2 linked regions of the Caenorhabditis elegans genome follow. The protein of the gene in region 1 interacts with the protein of each later gene in a pairwise test. Each region holds a gene or a part of one and is shown in the gene's direction. Other genes may lie near its edges. The genes, in order: tbc-8 and rund-1.

Region 1 (10,571 bases):
AAGAAAAGTTCAAAAATCGAAATTCTTAATAATTTATGGTTCAGTGAGTGGCATTTTTGTGGCATTTTTGTGGGAATTTTGGAGAAGTTTTAAGTTTCTGAAATTATTTTTTAAAGCTATTTACAATTAAATTTATTAAAATAGATACGTTAAAACATTTTTTAAAAATATTTTTGTTAATGAAAAAAATTCGCAAAAATTAAAAAAAAAGTACTATTAAATTTTTTTTCATTCAAACTTTCTGAAACGTTCTAAAAAAAAATTGTCAGAAATTATGTTTCTTTTTCAACATTAAAGTATATTTGTCTGGAATTAAAAATCTCTTTTTCAATTTTTAAAACTATATTCTTCTCCGCAATTTCAGTCAAATTTCAGACATCACCGAGTTATTTCCAACAAAAAAAAAACAAAAAATAAATCAAACTGTTTCACATTTTCCCCCTTTTCTGATTTATGAGTTTGTCTGGCCAACTCCAAGAGCACCAGGCTTCTCCTTTTTCTGTCTTTGTGTGTTTTTTTTTCATATTTCAAAGAAAATTTGAAATGCACATTTCTGTGTTTTGTGTGACAAGTTCAAGTGCACTGGAAGCAGGGAAAATTGTTTTTTCTCCTAGTTTTTAGTCTGTTTCCAGTTTTTGAAAATGTTCCTTTTTTGAATTTGATTTTCTTGCTCTGAGATTTTTTTTGTTGTTGGAAAAACTAATTTTTTATAAAAACTTTTAAAAAATGTATTGAAAGGTGTTTGAATAGTTAAAAATAGTTTGAATACATAGATCCCAATTCTGATCAAAATTTGAACTTTTTGCAATTTAAAATTGGAAATAATAAGCACAAATTGAAAAAAAAAACATATTTTTTTCCTGAACAATTACTTTCCCAAACTGGCAAATTATACCTTAAAATATGCTCCAATTATTTCAAAAATATTTAAAAAATTTGAACATTTTTTCCGTCTGACTTCCAATTAGAACAGGTGAACTTTATTCCTTTTTCAAAAAAGTTTCAAAAAGTTTTTCAGCTCAGTTTCACACAATTATTTTTTCAAAAAAGTCTCAAAATTTCCGTCGATTTGTGATGCTTCATCCTCCTTCTCGTCTCAAACTGTTGAATATTCATGTGGATTTCAATTTTTTGTTCCCCCCTATTTCGTCTAAAATTCTCCCTAGTTTTCTCGAAAATGACATGTTTCGTGCCAAAATTTAAATTGGGCTCTCAGTTTTGAGCTCATTTTTTCGAACATTTTGGGAAAAAATTAAATTGGTTATGAATTAAAAAGACAAACATTGAGAGCATTAAATTTCACTTTTTTTTTCGAAAATTTCGAGGATTAGAAATTTGAAATCGATCCCAAATTGTTCTTTATTTTCTCAAAAATCTGTTAAAAATCTGTTAACTTGTTTGAAACTTCAAAATTCAAAATACGGTACCCCGGTCGCCCATTTCCATCGGTGGCCTCGAAATCTCGGAAAAATCTTCCACACTGATTTTTCAAGGCCTATAAGGTTTGACACAGGGAAAGTTATAAGCATATCTTAGAGTTTAGTTTTCTAGGCCACCAAAAATATTTTCTAGGCCATCATATGCTATTTTTCATATATTCTCATTGCTCATCTTAATCAAAAAAACCTTTTCCATTTTCCTTGACTCATCCCTTCCTTCTCCTCTTCTTTTTCTTTCTCTTTCCTGTTATTTTCCCGTTCCGCTCAGAAATTGCCATGTTGGTTCTTATTTTTCCCTTATTTTTTTTTGCAGAGTCCAAAAAAAAGAACACGGAGCAATTATTGTGTGCTCCGAAAAAGCTCCGCCCACTTCTAGCCCTTGTAATCTGTTAGGAAGTCAAGACACACACACACACACAAAATGCAAATGTTTCGGCATTCATCGGCAGATATGTGGAGGGCGAAGAAGCCAACACTGGAGAGAAGATCAACTGATGGACGGCGATCTTCTATTGTTGATTGGATTAATGGATTATCGGATAATAACAATTATAAGTCGGATCACTGGGTTGAAAAGTGAGTACTTTTTAGGTGTAAGGGGTGGTCAGACCCCTGTGGCCTAGAAATTTTAGAAACTCTTCCACTAATTTTTCAATGTTGGGTAATATATACATTTTGATAGAATTAATAAGTTTTGCGATTGTCCCAGAGAAATTTCTGAAAACTTCCAAAAAAACAGAAAAAAATAGTAAAATAGTTTCGTAGCCTAGTAAAACCTCTTCCAACACTTTTTCTAGAATATTATTGAGCTTTAAGCAATATAAAAATACGCAGTTAGCTTTTCAAATTGCACCAGAATCCCCTTAACCAAGTATGTGGCCTAGAAATATCGAAAACTCTTCCACCAAGTTTAAGCGACTATCAAAAGGTACCCCATCTCGTATTCCCTCATGGCCTAGAAATTAAAAAAAAACCCTTCCACGTTTCTATGCCACCTAGGGATTTTCTAGGCCACGAGAGAATTCAGCATGACCTATATATTTTTTTTTTGAAATTAATTTGAAAAAACATTTTAATACAAGTAAAAAACAAGTTTTGTTATTATTTTATGCAGTTTCAAAAAAATAATTTCAGACATGACGAGGGGTGCGAGCGAATGACAAGAAACGGAAGTGTTTGTGCTGTTGAAGAGTCAGAACCAGATGTGCCCACGCAACACAGAGAAGTTTTACTCACAAAACTGAAAATTGAGGTATTTTGAGGGGAAAGTTATCTGTAGAAGCACTTGTAAACAGGGGTGCGCAACAATTTGCAGTTTTGGCAATTTTTGAAATTTAAAAAAAATTTCCAACAGAGCCAAATTTCTGATAATTTGAAAATTGTCAGGAAAATCAAATTTCTGAGAAAACAATTGGTGGGATTTCAAATATTCCTAGAAAACCTTAGAAATTACTTTTAGAAAAACCAAGGAATTTCTGAAAAACACTTTGAAACTTTGAGAAATTTCTATGAAATTGGAGAAATTTCTGGAGACTTAAGAAAACGCTGAGAAATTTCAAAACAACTCGAGAATGTTTTCAAAGGGAAATTCAAGAAGTTTCTGAAAACTTTGAAAAATTTCTAGATAGCTCGAAAAAGTTTAATAAAATTTAAGAAACTTTGGAGAAGGTTCGAGGCATCTTGAAATTGAAAAATGAAAATTCGCGAAAATTTATAGGAATTTTAAAACTTTATTCGGCTTCTAATAATAACAAAAGGTGCCAAATATCACAAAATTGTAAAGATAATTTTGAAATTTTTTTAGATCAAAAATATAATGGCCGAGCACGGAGCAAAAAAGTACTTGAACCTCAACTCCCCATACGTTACCTCACTCTGCATCGCAGTTGATGCTTGTATAATGGATGGTCTCCGGCGTCGGCTACTCACATTATTCAATAGTCCATCATCAATGTCACTTCTTCAAATAATTGCAAAATCAAATGGTCCAGCTCAACAGGTTTTAGATCAGACAAGAGAGATTGAGGAGCTACGGACAAGTGCAATTCCAGTGCATTTGATATGGATTCGTGAGGCTCTGTATTTGAAGTCTTTGTCTACTATTATCAATCATTTTATTGATTCAAAAAGGTTAGCAGAAAAAAAAAAACTAAAATTGGTGTGTCTTTTGAAAAATTGAGAGTTGTTTTAAAAAATGAAACTCTGTTTTGAAATTTTCTCTGGAAAAAAAACCCTCAAAGATTGAATTTTTTGAAAAATATTCCAAAAATATTTGATAAAACTATTCAATTACAGTGTCCGTCGATACTATGACAATAGTGCCCTACTACTGGATCCTGTTAAAGGTCGCCTAGTTGCTACGCTTATGAGTAAGTTTTGAATATTTTTTGCATATATTCAGGGTTAACCAGAAAAACTGGAACTATTTTATCTTTGAAATTCGTGGAATTTTTAGATGTTGTTGTTTTCAAAATATCTGAATTAAAAAATTAGACGAGTTCTAAATATGTTTTTGATTTGGCTCCGTGGCCGCGTGAGAAGAAAACTCGGCCACCGATTAAAAAAATTCTGTGCTCAAAGTTTTGATTTCTAGAGATCATGGAAATACTATAAATAAGAATTTAGAGACCGATAAAGAACAATTTCAGTTAACTTTTTTTCCGAAACAATTTATTTTTCTGGTGCTTCACCATCTTTTTTGTGGAAAACGAACATTTAAATTTTTAGAAAAAATTTCTCACGCTTTTTAGATGTGGCTTGCAATGCTCTGCCTTTTTTTGGATTGAAAAAATAATTTTAAAATTTTGAAATTATCGATTTTTGTAAACTCCCCAGAAAGTTAACCGGAAATTAAAATTAAAAGTGCCTCCTCAAGAGTTTTTGTTTCTCCCGTTGCACTTCCAGCCCCTAATTATTGATTAAAAATGCCCATCTTCTTCCGGTGCTACCACACACACACACATTGCTCTCCTTTTCCCGTGCTCCAGCTCCTCAGGCACAAAAAGAGAGACGGAGACGTGGAAACTGAAAAAAAGAGGACAAAAATAAAGAAGGCGTTGTGTGAGAGCTCCACGCTTGAGAGCTCTCTCACATGCTTTTTCCCTCTCTATCTGAGCCGTAAGCTGCTGGAGCCAAAGCAGCCGGACACAGCCGGAGAAGCAACAACATACTTAAAAATCGAAAAAAAAGCATTCGTTTTTTTATTTTTATTTTAATTTTTTAGAAATGTGTTCTTTAATTTATAATTCAAAAAGCCTCTGCTCAAAATTTACATATTTTCGGGAGAGAAACTCGGTCGCCTAAAACAAGGGGAGCCCATAAATAGGAAATTACGTTTTCCGCCTGCCGTTTTCGTTTTTTTTGTTCTTTTTCAAACATTTGAAGAGGAAAAGCTTGGAGGCTTTTTTTGGAATAATTGATGAATCAAATGCGCCACTTTCCTCTAGATTCTTTTAGCTTTACCTTGTATTTTTTTTGACAAAAAGTTATGCTAAATTTGAAACTGCAAGTTGATAGAAAAAAACGGAGAAAAGTTCAGTTTCGCGCTAAAAAAAATTTCTCAGAAAATATTGTATTTCCCGCCAAATTTTCAATACGAAAAATGGTACTTGTATATTATAATTGCACATGTTATAAAAATTAACTTGCCGTAGGAAATAATAATTTCTAAGCCAATAAAAAATGTATATTGGAAAATTGAAAAAATTTCAAACTATCGTCATTCTTCTCTCAACTTTCTTTGACTTTTTCCATAATTCCACCACTAAAAATTGCTCATCCGATCCCTCCCTGCCAATTGAAAACTACATTTATTTTTTGTTGCTGCGGGAAAATGTCTCATCTGCGAGCTTCTTCTGTGTGAGTGCTTCTGTTTACAGACTAATCGAGTTTCTCTCAAACTGAGCGCCTTTTTCACTACTAATGGAGCATTGAGCTCTCTTTCCAAAGAAGAGATGAAGCTTTTTCATGCTCACAGAGCAACTAATGAATATGTCGCTCATTTTGGAGCATCATCATATTTTGTGCAAAAGAAGCCTCTTTCTAATCCCATTTTGAAATAAACTTTTTTTTTTCAAAAACTGAAAACTTTCAAATGTTTTGTTGTTGCAGTGGCTCCGTGCATGGTAACATATCGAAGAATGAGCAACCGAATTGAGCAAGAAGCCACTGCTGAAGAGCTCGTAGAAGGAGCAACACGTGGATCCACATCCACAGTTCCGTCTAGGCCACCACTATCCGTTAGTTTCGGAGCCAAAAATTAATACTTGCAATGTTCTAAATGATTAGAAATTAAAGTCTCGTTAGGTACTGGCAAAGCCGTAAATTCGATGGTGCGTTTTTTCCGAGAAATTTTTTTTAATTTGTTGTTATTTGTTCACTGTTGTTTAAGATTTTTATGTCTAAAATTCTGTAAGACATTTTATTTTATTTTATTGATTTTTCCATCAATAATTTTAAAACCACGGCAAAAAATAATTTTAAAAAAAGTTTTTTTTTTTGAAAAAAATCAATAAATAAAAAAAATTCTCATTCATGACTTTGCCGCCAATACCTAACGAGACCCCAATTATAGGGGCGGAGCGTTTTCAGTTGCCGTTGGAGCGAGATTTTACTTTGATAGTATTTATATGTAATAATTAGAAATTTAAAAAAAGTAAAAATTGTCATCAGAATCAGGAAGCGAACTAAATTTTAAAAAACTGCGTCTTCAGAAAATCAAAAAAATTCATTTTTTAGATAACCCGTCAAGTGTCTAGTATAGCAGCTTCAGTTGAAAGGAATGGCTCCGTGAGCCGTGATTATGTATTTTCACTTCATCACAGCTGCAAATCGACCCTTCTTTATGGAAAGAACAATGTTTGTGTCGCAATGAATGGAAGCGATTTTGCAAAGGGTGAGCAGCTCCAAAATAATTTTAGAACTTTTCTGACTTTTTTCAAATTGACTCCTAAATTTGTTTAATGGAAAATTTGAATTTCGCGCTAAAAAAAATTATTGCATTAAAATGCACTTTTGGAGAATTTTAAATTTGGCTCTTTTCGAATTTCCCGATAAAAATTTAACTTTAAAAAAACAAATTTGTCCAAAATTAAATATTTTTATTCAACATTAGTTTTTCAGGTTACATGTCGCTTCAAAAGTTCTACGACGGAAACCTTTCTCTAAAATGGGTACCCAATCAACTTATGCACGCGAGTTCTCAGCCCTCTTCAGGACACTCAAATAATGGAGAATTTACAAATATTTGGAAGAATACTATAAATATTGAAATGCAAGACATTATCTACATTCATTTGCATCAAAAAGATGAGATCTCTCCGACATGCTTGACATTTGTCAATTGCGAAGGAGTTCAATCAGCTCCATTCCAATTACCTGCTGGTCAACATTCAATTGCATTTCTTTCTTCACTTGAGACGGGTTTAGCTCCACTTCTGAGGCTTGATCCTCCACTTTGGGTTGGCACGACTAAAGGTAGGAATACATTAAGTGTGAACTTTAATTTTATTTTTTAAAAGTTCTCCAAAAAATGATAATAAATTCGAAACTTTTAGTGCTCAGTTATCAAAAAGCCTACTAAATTCTAAATTATAATGTTAGGCATACATGAATTATCCCTTTTTGTGCCTAGCAACCGAACTCCCCGAGCAGCTGATATTATTATTATTATATATTTCAGAGAAAATTTTGCCTCGTCTACGAAAGCGGTCTACGGCAGTGGCGAATCCTGCTATGCTTGACTACGTTTTTCGTTTGGTAAGAACTTCTGGTGTTGAACCGGCTCCAGAGGATATTGAAGATCCACTTGCACCAACATCACATTCTCCTCCGATTCATGATAATTGGTGAGTTAAGAAATTTTAAAAAAAGTTAAACAAATTTCACAAATTTTGAAACAAAACTAGTAAAGATTTTTTGAAAAACAAATTAAAAATTAAGTCATTTTTATTTCATTTTTAATGAAAACAACGTAAACAAAATCGGAATAAATATTTAAATAATTTTTAAATTTCGAAAATTTTAAACCAATTTTCTATTTTATTTCCGTAATCCCATTTCTTTGTCAAATAACTCAACTCTATTTATTTTCAGCGTCTCTCTGCCAAACTCACCGTATATTGTCGATAATGTGGATAGTATTGTAAAGTAAGAATCATTATTTTATTTAAATTCTAAATTTATCCAAATTTTCAGTTTCCAAATCGGCACGGCTTGCCAATCGATGAGAAATCAAATAATGGCTCGTGCCTTTTACGGGTGGCTCACCTATGTTAGGCATCTGAGGACTATTCGAACGCATTTATTACATTTGGTGGATACAAAAACATTGATTTGTGATGATGATTGTGATCCGGTCGATGAAAAGTTCTGGAAGCAAGCTAGAGCAGAGCCTACTGTAAGTGTTTCAGGATATGCTGAAATTTAAAGAAAATCAAGCTTGGTTCTAGCGGCCGACATCTCACGGGCGGAGCTGCTGCCCGTGAATGTGTCGGTCGCTCTCTTCGAGTTCTTCAAAATTAGCCAGCTTCTTCAAGGAATAACCATTTTTTTGTTTCAGGAAGAAAACGAGAAGGAATTTTTAAAACGGGTCTACTGGAGAGGAATAGAAGGAATTAATACAAAAGAAGTCCGAAGAATGGCGTGGCCGTACCTTCTAGGATTGTTTGAATGGAATGAGAGTCCAGAGTCTAGGCTGGAACAGTTTACGAGTCAGTATTGGCAAGATGTGAGTTTTTTTTTCATTGTAGGTACAAAATAATTGTCAACTGAAATATTTCTAAAAAAAATATAGCTGGTCAACTGATATGTTTTCAGATAGAAGAATGGCGAGTTCTTGAGGCAGAAGTTCGGCGTAGAGACGAGGAAGCCTTCCGAGCGGCGAGAGCTCGAAAAGCAGCTTCACCAGTTCGAGAGGAGTCGTGCGATGTTTTCGAGGATCCGAATGTAAGTGGCATAAAAATTGTGGCCTAGAAACCCAATTCCTCTTCCAGGAGCCAACATGCTCTCAGCACTACGACCGCGAGAACTTGATCACCTTATTCCGCGCAAATCTGCACAGAATTGACAAGGACGTGGAGAGATGCGATAGAAATTTGATGTTCTTCTCGAATAAAGACAATTTAGAGAGCTTGAGGTAACGGATGAAAGTAGATCAAAATATTAACCTGAAAATGTTTCAGACGAGTAATGTACACATATGTGCGCCGAAACCTCGAAGAAGGATATACTCAAGGAATGTGCGACTTGTTGGCTCCACTGTTGGTTACTTTTGAAGATGGTAAAGAACATTTTTAGGGTGCCTGAAAAAATGTGCATATTTCAGAGGCTTTAACACTTGAGTGCTTCTCACTTTTGATGCTTCGGCAACGAGGAAAGTTTCCGCAACGTCCAGGGATGTCAAAGTGTCTGTTGAACTTGAGATCATTGATACAGGTGAGAGAGGCAACCATATTTAGAATCTGCAAAGTAACCTTGAGTACTGTAACCATACAGTAACCCTGCTTACTTTTTCGTGCCAAGTTCGTAGAGACAAACGGATTCACTATAAGCTTGAACGAAATCAAAAACAGTTACTTTATAGTAATCCTGAATAGTCCTAAATAGATCCATTTGATTAAAAATAGCGTAATCCTACAGTAACCTTACATGATTTCAGGTTGTCGATCCACAAATCTACGCCCTTATCTCTGACATCGACTATGCTCAAGCACTATCGTTCGCTTTTAGATGGTTTTTGCTGGACTTCAAACGAGGTGAGCATTACAGTAATCCTACAGTAGCCAAAAAATGCATTTTGTATGGCATGCGGCCCTAGGCTGAAACTACAGTACTCCTTGATGATGTAGTTGATGTTTGAAGTTTGAGTATACATAAGAAAACATGAGGAAAAAAGTTTATAATTTTGTAGAGGACATACGGTATTTAACTTCTAACCGTACATGTAACATAGGGTAAAACTACAGTACCCTTAGATGGAAAATCGACTTTTGGCACAACCTACAACTTGACCAGATTTTATACTATATACCTCTAGAACATCACTCTACAGTGAACTTACAATTTTAACATTCAGTAAACTTATATGTTAGTACCAAATTCCAGAACTATCCTACGAATGTACCTACAAAGTATGGGAGGTCATCTGGGCTGCTCAGCGACTCCGGATCACAGATGATTTTGCGATTTTCTTTGGCTTGGCAACAATCACCAACTATCACGATGTCCTTATCACAAACAACTTTGACTATACTGATATGATTAAATTTTTCAATGGTATGCAATAAACCCTCATGAATTGACTAATGTTTACATTACAGAAATGGCCGAACGTCACGATTGCTCACGTCTTCTCTCATCGGCTCGCACCCACGTCAAATGTTTGCAGAACCTTGTGCAACACCTCAAGTAGAATGTGTGGGAGAACATCGATTTTCTGTGTCATACGGGTCACTATCCGAATGTGTATTCATGAAAACTTATTATTTTACACTTTTCATAATCAATTTTTTTTCGTCTGTAGTTGACAGCTAGTAGTTTGTATTTATTGCAGAAAATGTATACTTTTAATGAAATTTATGTACGCTATTGTTCTTGTTTCATTGTTCTTTTACACTTCTGCTCGCCGGCGGAGGATCCTTTTGGCCACATCTAACGACGGAAGGGGGGGGGGGTCTGTTGACCCCGCCAGAGGTACTTAGCAACAGATATATGTTTTATTGGATGTTTTATTTATTAGCAATTGAAGGTTTTGGATGTTCTTTGACATATCAAAAATTTATATACATATATATAATATATTTTTTTGAAATGCCATGAAAGAAAGTTTGCATTATTAAATCATCATACGCCTTTTTGAAAAAGCAACTATAAGATTTCTAGGCCACCAACTTCAGTTCCCAACCAATTTTTTCTATTATAGATTAAATTTCCAATTCCACCAGACTACCAGATTTCTAGCTCTAGGCCAGAATCAAAAAAATTCAGGCCACCAGATTCCTAGGCCACGAGTATTTTTCAACCAAATAATGTTCCAACTTTTTTTAATTCAATTCCAATCCGTTTATCTTTGGTCTCTCCTTTACCTTCCACTCGGGTGTCATACTACACATAATAGTGACCCCATTTTGAAAT
Region 2 (11,486 bases), on another chromosome or scaffold:
TTTAAAAATATTAAAAAATAAAACAACTTATATTTAAAAATATTTTATTTATTTTTTTCTGACATTTGTTATTTGCCAAGACTATTAAAAAATTGTCAAACTCCCTACTCACCAATTTGTCAAACATTTTAAAGTTTGGCAATTTCCGAAAATGCGGACAAACTCAAAGTTAGACAAAAAAAATTTATTTGTTTTAATATAAATTCATTGAGAAGTGAGCAAAAGATTTACTTTTTTAAGTAATGTGTATGTTAAGTTGCTAAATAACTAAATAAAATGTTTTCAAATTTTCTTGAAACATAAAACTTTGTTTTTGATCTCACTATCAGCTTCATTATATAGCGTTAAATCAAATTTGGAAAGTTTCGACAGGTTTTTCTCATTAAAATATTAGCAGGTCTCAGATACTTCGAGTTTAAAAGTAAAACAACAAATGCATAGGCTTGAGAACTTTTAGGAAATTAGAAACTTTATGTTTGTGGCAAGTCTTAGCAATTGCTGAATTTTAAAATTTTCAGAAATTTCAGTAAACTGTCGATTTGCGAAATTTACGGAGAAACGGCAATTGCTGAACATTTTTTGGTTTTTCAATTTTGAAATTTAATTTTCGAAAATTTAAAAATGAATGCATTCATTAAATTCTCTCAGAGCCAACACGAAAAGTGAATAAATTCGCGCCACTCTTAAACCAACGTTCCTCACTTCTCAACCAACTTTAGCTTCCCACCACTTTCAAACCATGTTTAACCACTTCTGAACCAACTTTGCCCACTTTTCTACCACTTTTAAGCAACCAGTCGCTTTGCAACCAACCTTCGCCACCTTTCGCCGTTTGTAGTCTTCTTTAGCCAACTTCAACCAACTTTAGCCACCTCTCAACCAATTATGGCAAACTTTGGCCAACATGTGTTCAATTGTTTTCAATGATTCAGAGCGAGATAATCAGAATTTCTTAGCCAAAAAAAAAGCGTTTGAGATACAGAAAAAACCTCTTTCATTTTTACTTTAATCTCTCTTACCCAATTTAACATACCATACAACTTTTGCCACATTTTCCTACAAAAAACATCAAAAACGGAAAACAATTTCAAAAACTTAGTTGTGAATGCTTTTTTAAATAATTAAATAATTTTTATTAGTTTTGATGATATTATTAAATATATTATTTGACAAATGACAAATTCGGCAGTTTTTCAAAAACATGAAACTAAATCCGCCAGTTCGCTATTTCGGTTTTTGTAGAAATCGTCGTCGCGCAACCCTGGAGCATTTTCAAAGCCATATGAAAATTAAACCCCTCCATGTCGAAAAAGCTCTCATAATTATGTCCGCCCACAAGGATTTCGTTCGTCATTTCCAAGACTAAAAGCGTCCCTTCTCCATGCTTCTTCCGTCTTTCTCCACGTTACCCATGGCGGTCGATAACCAAGAGCGACGACGTGAGAGTGCATGAAGAACACGAGACGCAGTTTGTTGCCTCATTTCTCTGCTCTCTTGCGTGCTCCGTTATTTTTCTCCTTCTTTTTCCCCTTTTTTGTCCGGCAATCCTTTTTAAAAGCATACGTCATCTTTTTCTTTTTCAGTTTTTCTCTTCTCTGAAAACCCTTTTAGCAGAAAAACGGAAATTGGAAAATGAAAAAAAAGTAAAGTATATATTGTTTTTAATGTTTCGTGATGTAATTTATTTGTCCACTCCCATTTTTCATTTTCATTTTGTTTCAATAAATGGAATTTGTTCAGCTTTCAATTAACAATCTCAAAATAATCATCACTTCAAACAAAATTTTGAAAATGTACGTGTTATTCATTCGTAATAATATATAATTATTTTTTTTATTAATTTTTTTTCAACGTATTGTTTCAGGTGCCAGAAATTTTGCCAAAATGATGAACGAGTTGGAAGCCAGCGACTTGCTAGTAGAGTTGGGTCAATCCTTAAAAAAGCGAGCGTCCGAAGATTCAAAAGAAATTGTGGATGGATTGGATTTTTGTGAGTTAAAAGTGATTTTTGTTTTCTGAAATAATTGTTTTCAGATGACACAATGTCTGAAACTGAATGGAAAAGTGCTCGGTTGTCTTCTAGTCATAGTGATGATATTGGGTAAGCTTTTTGTGTAAATTGTGGTCAATGCAACAGTAGGTTCAAAAATTTTAATCCTGAATATCTCATTAAATTGATGTAGTCCAATTATTTTTAATGCTTTATTTCATCAAAATCATTTTTTGACTTTTTCCATAACTTTTTTCGAGAAGTTTTCAAAAATTTTTATTATGAAATTCGGTAAAGCAATAAAAAAAAATTTGACTGCACTACCTTTAACTGATAAACTCAGAACTCAATTTTTAGAAGCTTAAACGATGCATTACGGGTACAACAATTGGAAGAAGAGCAGGAACGACTCAATAACTCGTTATTTTCCCTGAGCTCCCATTTTGCGCAGGTGCAGTTCCGGATAAAGCAAATGAATGAAGCGGACCCAAGCGATAGATTAGTAAGCTATTAGGCTCAGTTGCCTCATCTCATATGTCTTTTCCAGAAGTTGCTCTCTGATCTTCAAAAATTTGCTTTCAAGGGTTGCACAGACATGAACGAGCTGCAAAGGCTACGAAGTGAAAGTGAAAGTGGAAATGATGTACTAGACAAGCAAAATGAACGACAAAAAGAATTGCTAAAACAGCTCCGCGAGCAAGTAGAAGACTTGGAAAGGACTGCCTATGAAAATGGAGAAGGCGAGCTTCCAAGTACTGACATTTTGAAGAAACAGGTTTGTATAAAAGTAAGAGTTTATGCTGAATTTTAATTTGTAGAAAGCCGTTCTGGATAAACTCCGCGAAAAAATCGAGTTAAATCTAGACATAGATAAAATGAACCAAACAGAAATACAACGGCAAGTAGATGATGCTCTGAAGCAACTTGTCAATCCGTTCAAAGAAAAGGGACAACTAGTAGACCAACTTCAGACTCAGATCACAGATTTGGAACGTTTTGTCAACTTTCTTCAGAAAGAGAATGCTGAAAATTCGAATCAAACTACACCGGTTCGGGTATGATCATTGTTGTTTTTCACTAATTTTCTAGTCAATTTTTTCTTTCAGAGCATGGGATCAACGCCGCTGTCTGGTGCCAAATCTAAAAACGGATCATTTTTAAGTGGAATCATCGGGTGCTCAACAGGAAGGTTTCAGAAAAATCAGCTGAAAAATACTTTGAAAGGAAATCATTATGGGTTAGTTTCTCAAGTTTGTGATCGAAAAATATTTACGCTTTTTAAATCGATAAAAATATTTATTAAAAGTTTGATACAAACATGTGAGCAAAAAACACCACTATACGTGTTTGCTCAAACCACAAGATACAGATCACGTATTTGCACACATTTATTGAGCCAAACTTTAATGATGTGTGTTTTTGACATACTACAAGAACTTTGGGTTTCGGATATTTGTCTGATTATAAAAAATTTTAATTTTCACTTTTTCAAGTTTTGATTATGAAACGAACAATCTTCAATTGGTTCTAGCACTGACAAAATTAAATTTTGCACTAACCACTGACCAAAAAATGTAACTTCCCAAATATAATTTTAATGTTCGGTTTATCAAAATATTTTTGCCAAAAAAAACACGATTTTATTGTTCAATTTCCCACATTCACTTCCATTATGCGAGCATCTTTCATTCAAACTTTTTGCAGAGACGAACGGGCGCATGTGCAACTAGCAGTAGACGCCACACAACAAGTGCTGGAAAAATACACCCTACTGACATTCGACTCGGCAACAAAAGGCCAATTAGAAGAAGTTCAAGTAGAAAATGACGTAGGGCACAAAATTCACAAATTCTCACATGAGGAGATATTTCATTTCGCAATATCACATTTCAGGAGGTCTTTGAACGATCTGAAGAGGAAGTGGTAACTATTGTCCGAAAGCAGCTGTGTCTTGCATTGAAAGCCCTTCTAGAGCATGGGATGCTCTCAGAAACAGTGGTGCACAAGCGGATACCGGGGTTAGGCTGTTTTGTCGCAAAAAGCTCGGCGGACGAGAAATCAACGTCATTGAGTCATATTTGGGATGTGATTTTATACTTTTATAATTTAAAAACTGGAAGAGACACCACAGATGCTCCTGTAAGAAAATTGAGTCAATCCTTTAAATTGGATCACGTCGGAGGAAGAAGCATAACTTCAAAACAGGTAGAATCTGTTTTTTTAAGGACGCGAACAAGCGAATTAATTTTTTAGGTTTTGCTGACAACAATTGAAAACATCATCTCGACTCACGCAAGATTAAAAAGATCAAAAGATGCGCATTGGAAAGCATTTGTCTCAGCTGCTTTGAATGAGAAAAAATTACCTGCTTGGTTGAGGTACGGAAGTCTTTTTTTCGTAAAAAAACCGCGCAACTTTTGAATATTTAGATCATACGTTTACCACTTTGTGTACACAAAAAATAAGACGCACTCCAAAATACAGTGCAATTTTAGATCATGCCGTTCCTCCTAGACTGAAAACCTCAGAAAATGTAGAAACACGTCTGAAATAAATATTCATCTTGACAAGGACTTTATCCGCTTGAAATTCCATAAGAATTTTGATGTTTTACCTATTAGAACTTTGCAAGACATTAATTAACTTGTTAGTATTATTGCTAATAATCTCGTACGAGTTCATTTATTTAGGGTGATCTCAAACAAAAAACCAATTATTTTATATCAAATCCTTGAGCTGCTACATATATTAATACCCGTCAATTGCCCTTATTTCAAATGTCCAAACTAATTAAATTTGTTTGCAGGATCATATTTCGAACCCGACAAGTTGTCGAAATGTGCTACAACTCTTGGAGTTATGTTGCAAGAACAGGTGGGTACCATCTTCTCTTTTTTCCATTTTCAACTCGTTATTTTCAGGCTGTGAGGAACTCTACACACTTCTCGAAGGTCTTCACAAATATAGTATTCACTTACCGGTTGACTTGGCTTTGAGGCCATTCGAACAAATCAAAGACGCATTTTAGTACTATAATATCAAAAAATTTGTAATAAGCATATTAAAATGACTGGAACTGAACAATCAAGACAGTTTAAAACAGGTTCGGGATAAAATAAATTAATTGCCACTTTTTTTTTGAAAATTGTTTTATTCAATAAAAACAATAAAATGGAAAATAAATTACGTTAGTACTTAAATGAAAGTGTTGAAGTATGATTGATAATTTACCCAAAAAGATCAGTGAGAACATTTGTAAGATAATTGTATGGAGTTGCTTTTTTGCACTGTGACCAGTCGGCGTAATGAATAGGGTTGCTTCTGAAAAATAATTTTTTATGAAAAGTCAAATTCGATATGAATTCCCAACGGTTGTCGGATACTAAAAAACGTTTTCCGTTCATTAATGTAAGGACATCTTGCGGGCCCAAAAGCCCAACCTACCCTGTGACATCATCCATGAATCCGGCTTTTTCCAAATCGGTCTCCACTTGATCCTTGTACTCTTTATAGAACTTTCTCAAATCTCGAACTAAACCAATCATTGGGAAACGAGCCCAATTTGAGAGAATTAGGTATTCATACTGGTTGTGTTGCTTATTTATTGGGCCAACTACTACAATTTGATCTGAAATTAGTTTTTTGTGATATGTGAAAATTAGCAAAAAAGTTTACATGGACACGGATCATCCTGCATATAGACATATGTTCTCTCGTGATGAATTATTCCGTATCCAAATGCAACCTAAACTTTCAAAATAATATTCTTCAAAATAATTAGTAATTAATACTCACTTTCTCCCCCGCATCTACACTTCCTGCTCTGAACTTTTCCTGCAAACTGAAAGCTGACGAATTTCCCGATTCTGCTTGGGGCATGACTGAAATACATTTCTTGTTGGGGGTTGATAAATTACACTTACACTCAGTTGTAGCGCAATACCGATTATGAACAGATGGAGTGTCCAGAGCCTGGAAAGGTATTGTATTCGTTTCGCATTGAAATTCTATAACTCGAATTTTTTGTTCTAATGAAACATTGTAACTGATATATTTTAAACTAATGTTTCGAAGTTAAAGGTGGAAGTCAATTTGTCACGTTTTTTAAATAAAACAAAAAAAATACTCAGAAATTTTTATTATGTTTGTCTCATAGAAAGTAACTTTTGGAGCACTTCTGCAGTACTAGAAAATTGTGAAAAAAATACAAATTGAAAAAATTAAAGTTTGAAAATTCAGTGGATGTTTCAATTTTTGTGATAGATTAGTGAAATCACAAGTTTTAAATGGGACTCGTCTGGAAGTAACCCTCCACCATATACATACTTTGCTCGTCAAAAAGATGTATATTTTTTTAGTTGTTAAAAAATCACTTTGTCACTTTTTCCCTTTTTTGAGCTGAAATTTGACAATCGTATTGAAAGAAAAATTCATGTTCTGTGTCATTCCGTTGTTAAAAATTTTTTCTTTAGTTTCAAAAAGTCATTACATAATACAAATAATGTATGACAGAGCTTAACACTACTTTTGTTTTCTGATCATTATGGTGATCTCTTATCACACACACTCACCCACTGGAACTTGCCATACAAAGCCCTGACGTCGACTTTTGGCGCGGGCAATAAACTGGCCAGATAATCCTGAGCGCCCGGTATGTTGCGCAAGATATTTTGGAAGAAGCTTGGTGACCTTGAAGAAAAATGAATGATGATTCATACTCTTTTGGTTTTTTCTAACTTTTGTAAGGTTGATTTGAAACAGACTACAAATACTTCTCAAATACATTCATTCCCACGAATTTTGGTCATAAAAAAGCTTACTTGTCCTTAATAAGCGGTGATCCACGTGGCAAACACGATCCGGCTCCTGGTAAACTTCCCAAAAGACCTGGCACAACAGGCATTCCATCTACCAAATTCATAGAAGGTAATGGGTTTTTCAATCTGGAATATTTAAAAAATTTAAATACACTCTATTAAAAACTAAGACAGCATTACTTTTTGGCTAGAGTGTTGTCTGGATTCTTCTGCACTGTTTGCAGGTATTTCATGAGACCGACCGATTGACTGAAAACATTTTTTTTCAAATTATAGCTGCTCTAACTGAAATTCTGTAAATATAAGCTTTTAATGATTTGAGGAATCTTTTTGCAAAAATTGTGATAAATCTGTAGAACCGACTAAAAAAGCAGTCACGATGCATAAATACTTTTGTCAACCAACTTACGTAGCCAGATCCTGAAACGGACCCCTATCATGAGTTCCCGCATCTCCAGTAGACAAACCAAATATTTCCAAAAACTGACAGTTTACAGGTGAGAACGAAAAAAAAATAATAATAGTAAAGAAGTAGAACGTTGCGTGATATAGACCATTATTATGCCGCATTATTATGACGACCACCACCGAAATAGTGTCAGGCGGCGGATATCGTCTCCTCCGTGGAAAAAGGAATGTCGGATAGGGAGAAAGATGACAGTGAGAAAAAGAGAAATCACTGGCACTGTCAGAAAAAATCCGGATTTTTTCTTTATAATTTTAATTGATTATTGCTTATATTGCGGCTAGTTTCGGTTTAATGGAAAGGAAAAGATTTTCAGAATTGAATTTTATGAGAAAAAATAAAATTTCAGATAAAAATTTGAATTTTGATTTCAAACGGGTTTTTTGATTTAGTGTTTAAAGGAGCTCGAGTGAATTTATCGTTTCCTGAAAAAAATGTTTATGATGAAAGTGTACGTCCGTACATTTCCCAGCTTCCAGTAGGGCGTCAAAAAAATTCCGGGGAATTAAATTTGAATCATTAACCAGGGTTGACCAGGGGTAGAGATTGACCAAAATTCACCGGATTGAACAATTTAACTGTAAGTTTACAGTCGAGCAGTGTTCATTTATTGTGGGTGTGCTATTGTGTTACGTAAAAACAAAGCGAGCAAAATAATTATACATTTTTCAAAATTGATCAAGTGCGAAGTAACTTTAGTTAAGAAACTGTTAAGAACATCCAACGGTGCCAAAATAACCAAATATTATAATACAAATTTTTTTCAATAACTGTGATTGTCAAAAGTCAAAAAGTGACAATTACTAAGTTTAGGCCACTTCTTGTGAGAACTGTAGCACTCGAACTCTAATAATTTTCGAATGTTACTTTTTGAAACTTAAATAAAACATAAAATTTGGAAACAAACAATTTTTCCACGACTTCTAAAAAAATAGCAAAATTTTAATACCATTTTTCAAAAAATCATATAAAATTCGGAATATTTATACTATTTTTTTATATGATTTTGTTTCATTGGTATGTCTTCTACTTACAACAACGGGACATTAATTGTCTTTGTATATCACAAAGTTAGGAGAAAATGTCTGCATGCCTGCTTGGACTAGCATTGCCTTGTGCCAGCACGCATTCCTGAACCGAGCCTTTTTTGAATGAATCGACCCCCTTGATCCTACTCATCAGTTTTGTGAACGTTAGAAAATTCGCTGAACTGGATTGATAAATTTTTTGGCATGTCTCTTTCCTGTGACACTTTCTCAATAGTTTCAAAAACCTCAAACTTCCGGTTATATAATATTATCTCTTCAATTCGGGAAAGTTGTGAACTTAACGTGTGAGAATCAATGTAGCACTCAAAAGAGGATTAGCTGAATACAATTACATGCAATCCCAACTTACGGAATACACTTTTGAATATTGAGAAGTTTGGGGCGGAATAACTCCCTTGCCCAACAGTTTTCACGTTATTTGTCAACTAAATATCAACAAACAATTGTAAGTTATACAATTTCCTCACTATCCTTGTTTTCAATCGTTGAGAACTGAATATGCTGGTTCCGTCTGACTCCGGTGGCAAAAAGTGAGTAGATACCTAACAAGGGAAGTCTTTGAGGGGGTCCGTAGATTTGGGGTTCTCATGCTAAAATTCCTACAGAAGAGTGTTAGTTATGATCTCTCCAAAAAATTTAGCTGCCCCGGTCAAGTTTCAGCAAAGTTATGACGTTTTGAAATTTCGGTTAAAAACACCATTGAAATCCACTGTCTTACCATGCAGTCCACGCAAATCTCAGCTTGCGTGACCACCGAAAATGTGACACCCATCACATTGAGTTGAAAAATGTCCTCGGTGGACGAGTTAACTCCCCAATTGGGAGTGCGCGCGTCTGATAAGATTTAAGCTTTGGTTCGATTCCTTCTATTTTTGAAATATTTTTGTAAGTTGAATAAAGTTGTAAAACAACTCATTCAAACATTTTTGCGCATTTTTAAAGTGATTTTATTCTTATTCGGGAGCCTAGAATCATTGTCCGCACTTTTTGGAAATTTTTATTTTTTTCATTGTTGCTCAAAATTTCTTGATCAACTCCAAGCAAAAAATTCAAAAAATTTCATTTTTCTAAACAATTATGAAATTGCTATGTTGTTGTTCAGAAATGTATGAAACGTACATTACACAAGTTTTAACTCTCTATTCGCAAGTAAACCGTCGAAATGATCTACATCTCACGAACTTTGTGCAAAATATGTAACCAACTTTGAAGTTGCATAACTTCGTTGAGATAAATTATTTTGAAAAATGATCAACTAACGAAATGTTTGTTGAATAACAGTGAACAAAGTTTTAGTTATAAACTTTTTGATACCTCCAGCTACAAAGAAGAAAACAAGGTTGGCATTTGGCTAGTTTTTCTATTAACATTGTGTTTTGGAAAACGGTCACAACTTTTTGGTGGCTGAAGGTATCAAAAAGTTTATAACTAAAACTTTGTTCACTGTTATTCAACAAACATTTTGTTAGTTGATCATTTTTCAAAATAATTTATCTCAACGAAGTTATGCAACTTCAAAGTTGGTTACATATTTTGCACAAAGTTCGTGAGATGTAGATCATTTCGACGGTTTACTTGCGAATAGAGAGTTAAAACTTGTGTAATGTACGTTTCATACATTTCTGAACAACAACATAGCAATTTCATAATTGTTTAGAAAAATGAAATTTTTTGAATTTTTTGCTTGGTGTTGATCAAGAAATTTTGAGCAACAATGAAAAAAATAAAAATTTCCAAAAAGTGCGGACAATGATTCTAGGTTCCCGAATAAGAATAAAATCACTTTAAAAATGCGCAAAAATGTTTGAATGAGTTGTTTTACAACTTTATTCAACTTACAAAAATATTTCAAAAATAGAAGGAATCGAACCAAAGCTTAAATCTTATCAGACGCGCGCACTCCCAATTGGGGAGTTAACTCGTCCACCGAGGACATTTTTCAACTCAATGTGATGGGTGTCACATTTTCGGTGGTCACGCAAGCTGAGATTTGCGTGGACTGCATGGTAAGACAGTGGATTTCAATGGTGTTTTTAACTGAAATTTCAAAACGTCATAACTTTGCTGAAACTTGACCGGGGCAGCTAAATTTTTTGGAGAGATCATAACTAACACTCTTCTGTAGGAATTTTAACATGAGAACCCCAAATCTACGGACCCCCTCAAAGACTTCCCTTGTAAAGCAAACTTTTACACATTTATGGAGATTTCTCAATTGATATTGACATGGTTTTCAGGCGAGAAAATCACGTGGTACCATCAAATGTGGTGAAAGGGAATGAGTGTAAGCTGAAAGAAGCTCCATTGTGCACACTTATTGTGTCATTTACAGATGATGAGGTATGTTCTTTTTCCGATTTGAATTTGTAATAAAAAGCTATTCTTCACATCAAAATGCAGAAAATAGGCGATAAGCATTTACGAAGCGGTTTTTTTTTGAAAATTCTGAAACTTAAAGTTGTGGAAGCGCCAGTGGATAAATTGCTTTAGAACATGCCTATATAACTTACTATCATAGTAAAAATGTTCAGAAAAGTTTTCTAAATTTTATATGAGAAGTTTGGAAGTTAAAAAAAACATCGATTTGCATCAAATTCATATTCGAATTACTGCCAATAGTTCGGGCTTGTCTTATGTATTTAAATTATTTTCATCAAATTTTCTTATGTTTTGCCTGATTTTTAATGTTTTTTGTGAAATTTCATCGGAAATTCAGCAAGAAAAATCAAGATAAATTTAAATTACTCACCGAAAAACTAAAAAAAAACAAGGCAAGTTTTCCAACGACGTAGAGCCTGAAATAATCAACTGCACAGATCCGTTTTTTAATAAAACATTTACATTTATCCTGAATTGTTCACTAAATTTTCAGTAAAATTACACAAAAAAAACATGAAAAATCAGTCTAAAATTGTGAAAAATTAATGATTAAAAGTTTAAATAAGGCAAGCGTCGAACTCCAATTCAAAAGGGAATTTGATGCAAATTGAGATTTCTTCCTTTTGATATTTGGTAGTTATGGAACCATAGTCATGTTTTAAAACAATTTCCCCACAGGCCCTCCTCCACCTTCCTTTAATTCACTCCTATAATTCTCAAAACATTACAACGAATGTGTTCAAAAATTGTGGGGAAACAATATAAAAAAAATATTTTTTTAGTTT

Evidence for each region.
Region 2: the proteins of tbc-8 (region 1) and rund-1 interact in a two-hybrid assay, tested with the Caenorhabditis elegans proteins (one study listed by BioGRID).

What each region holds. Positions count from the first base shown.
Region 1 is NC_003281.10:10,363,206-10,373,776, forward strand, and holds tbc-8 (Rab GTPase-activating protein tbc-8), read left to right. Parts: upstream 1-1,750; 5' UTR 1,751-1,860; coding exon 1,861-2,015; intron 2,016-2,573; coding exon 2,574-2,691; intron 2,692-3,243; coding exon 3,244-3,569; intron 3,570-3,734; coding exon 3,735-3,808; intron 3,809-5,549; coding exon 5,550-5,677; intron 5,678-6,176; coding exon 6,177-6,333; intron 6,334-6,560; coding exon 6,561-6,914; intron 6,915-7,119; coding exon 7,120-7,285; intron 7,286-7,532; coding exon 7,533-7,586; intron 7,587-7,634; coding exon 7,635-7,836; intron 7,837-7,998; coding exon 7,999-8,166; intron 8,167-8,255; coding exon 8,256-8,384; intron 8,385-8,431; coding exon 8,432-8,574; intron 8,575-8,620; coding exon 8,621-8,718; intron 8,719-8,763; coding exon 8,764-8,873; intron 8,874-9,096; coding exon 9,097-9,193; intron 9,194-9,542; coding exon 9,543-9,713; intron 9,714-9,757; coding exon 9,758-9,849; 3' UTR 9,850-10,029; downstream 10,030-10,571. UniProt on the Caenorhabditis elegans protein: Interacts with numerous Rab family members, functioning as Rab effector for some, and as GTPase activator for others. GTPase activator for rab-2. In association with ric-19 activates rab-2 during dense core vesicle maturation in cholinergic motoneurons.
Region 2 is NC_003284.9:652,156-663,641, reverse strand, and holds rund-1 (RUN domain-containing protein), read left to right. Parts: upstream 1-1,864; 5' UTR 1,865-1,884; coding exon 1,885-1,990; intron 1,991-2,034; coding exon 2,035-2,101; intron 2,102-2,347; coding exon 2,348-2,492; intron 2,493-2,537; coding exon 2,538-2,765; intron 2,766-2,808; coding exon 2,809-3,045; intron 3,046-3,096; coding exon 3,097-3,227; intron 3,228-3,694; coding exon 3,695-3,818; intron 3,819-3,883; coding exon 3,884-4,195; intron 4,196-4,243; coding exon 4,244-4,368; intron 4,369-4,796; coding exon 4,797-4,864; intron 4,865-4,911; coding exon 4,912-5,018; 3' UTR 5,019-5,165; downstream 5,166-11,486. Other genes in the region: lpr-7 (Lipocalin domain-containing protein), read right to left, coding at 5,218-5,311, 5,435-5,618, 5,666-5,735, 5,786-5,871, 5,914-5,962, 6,562-6,679, 6,811-6,933, 6,988-7,056 and 1 more; Intermediate filament protein ifc-2, read left to right, coding at 8,821-8,852, 10,560-10,662.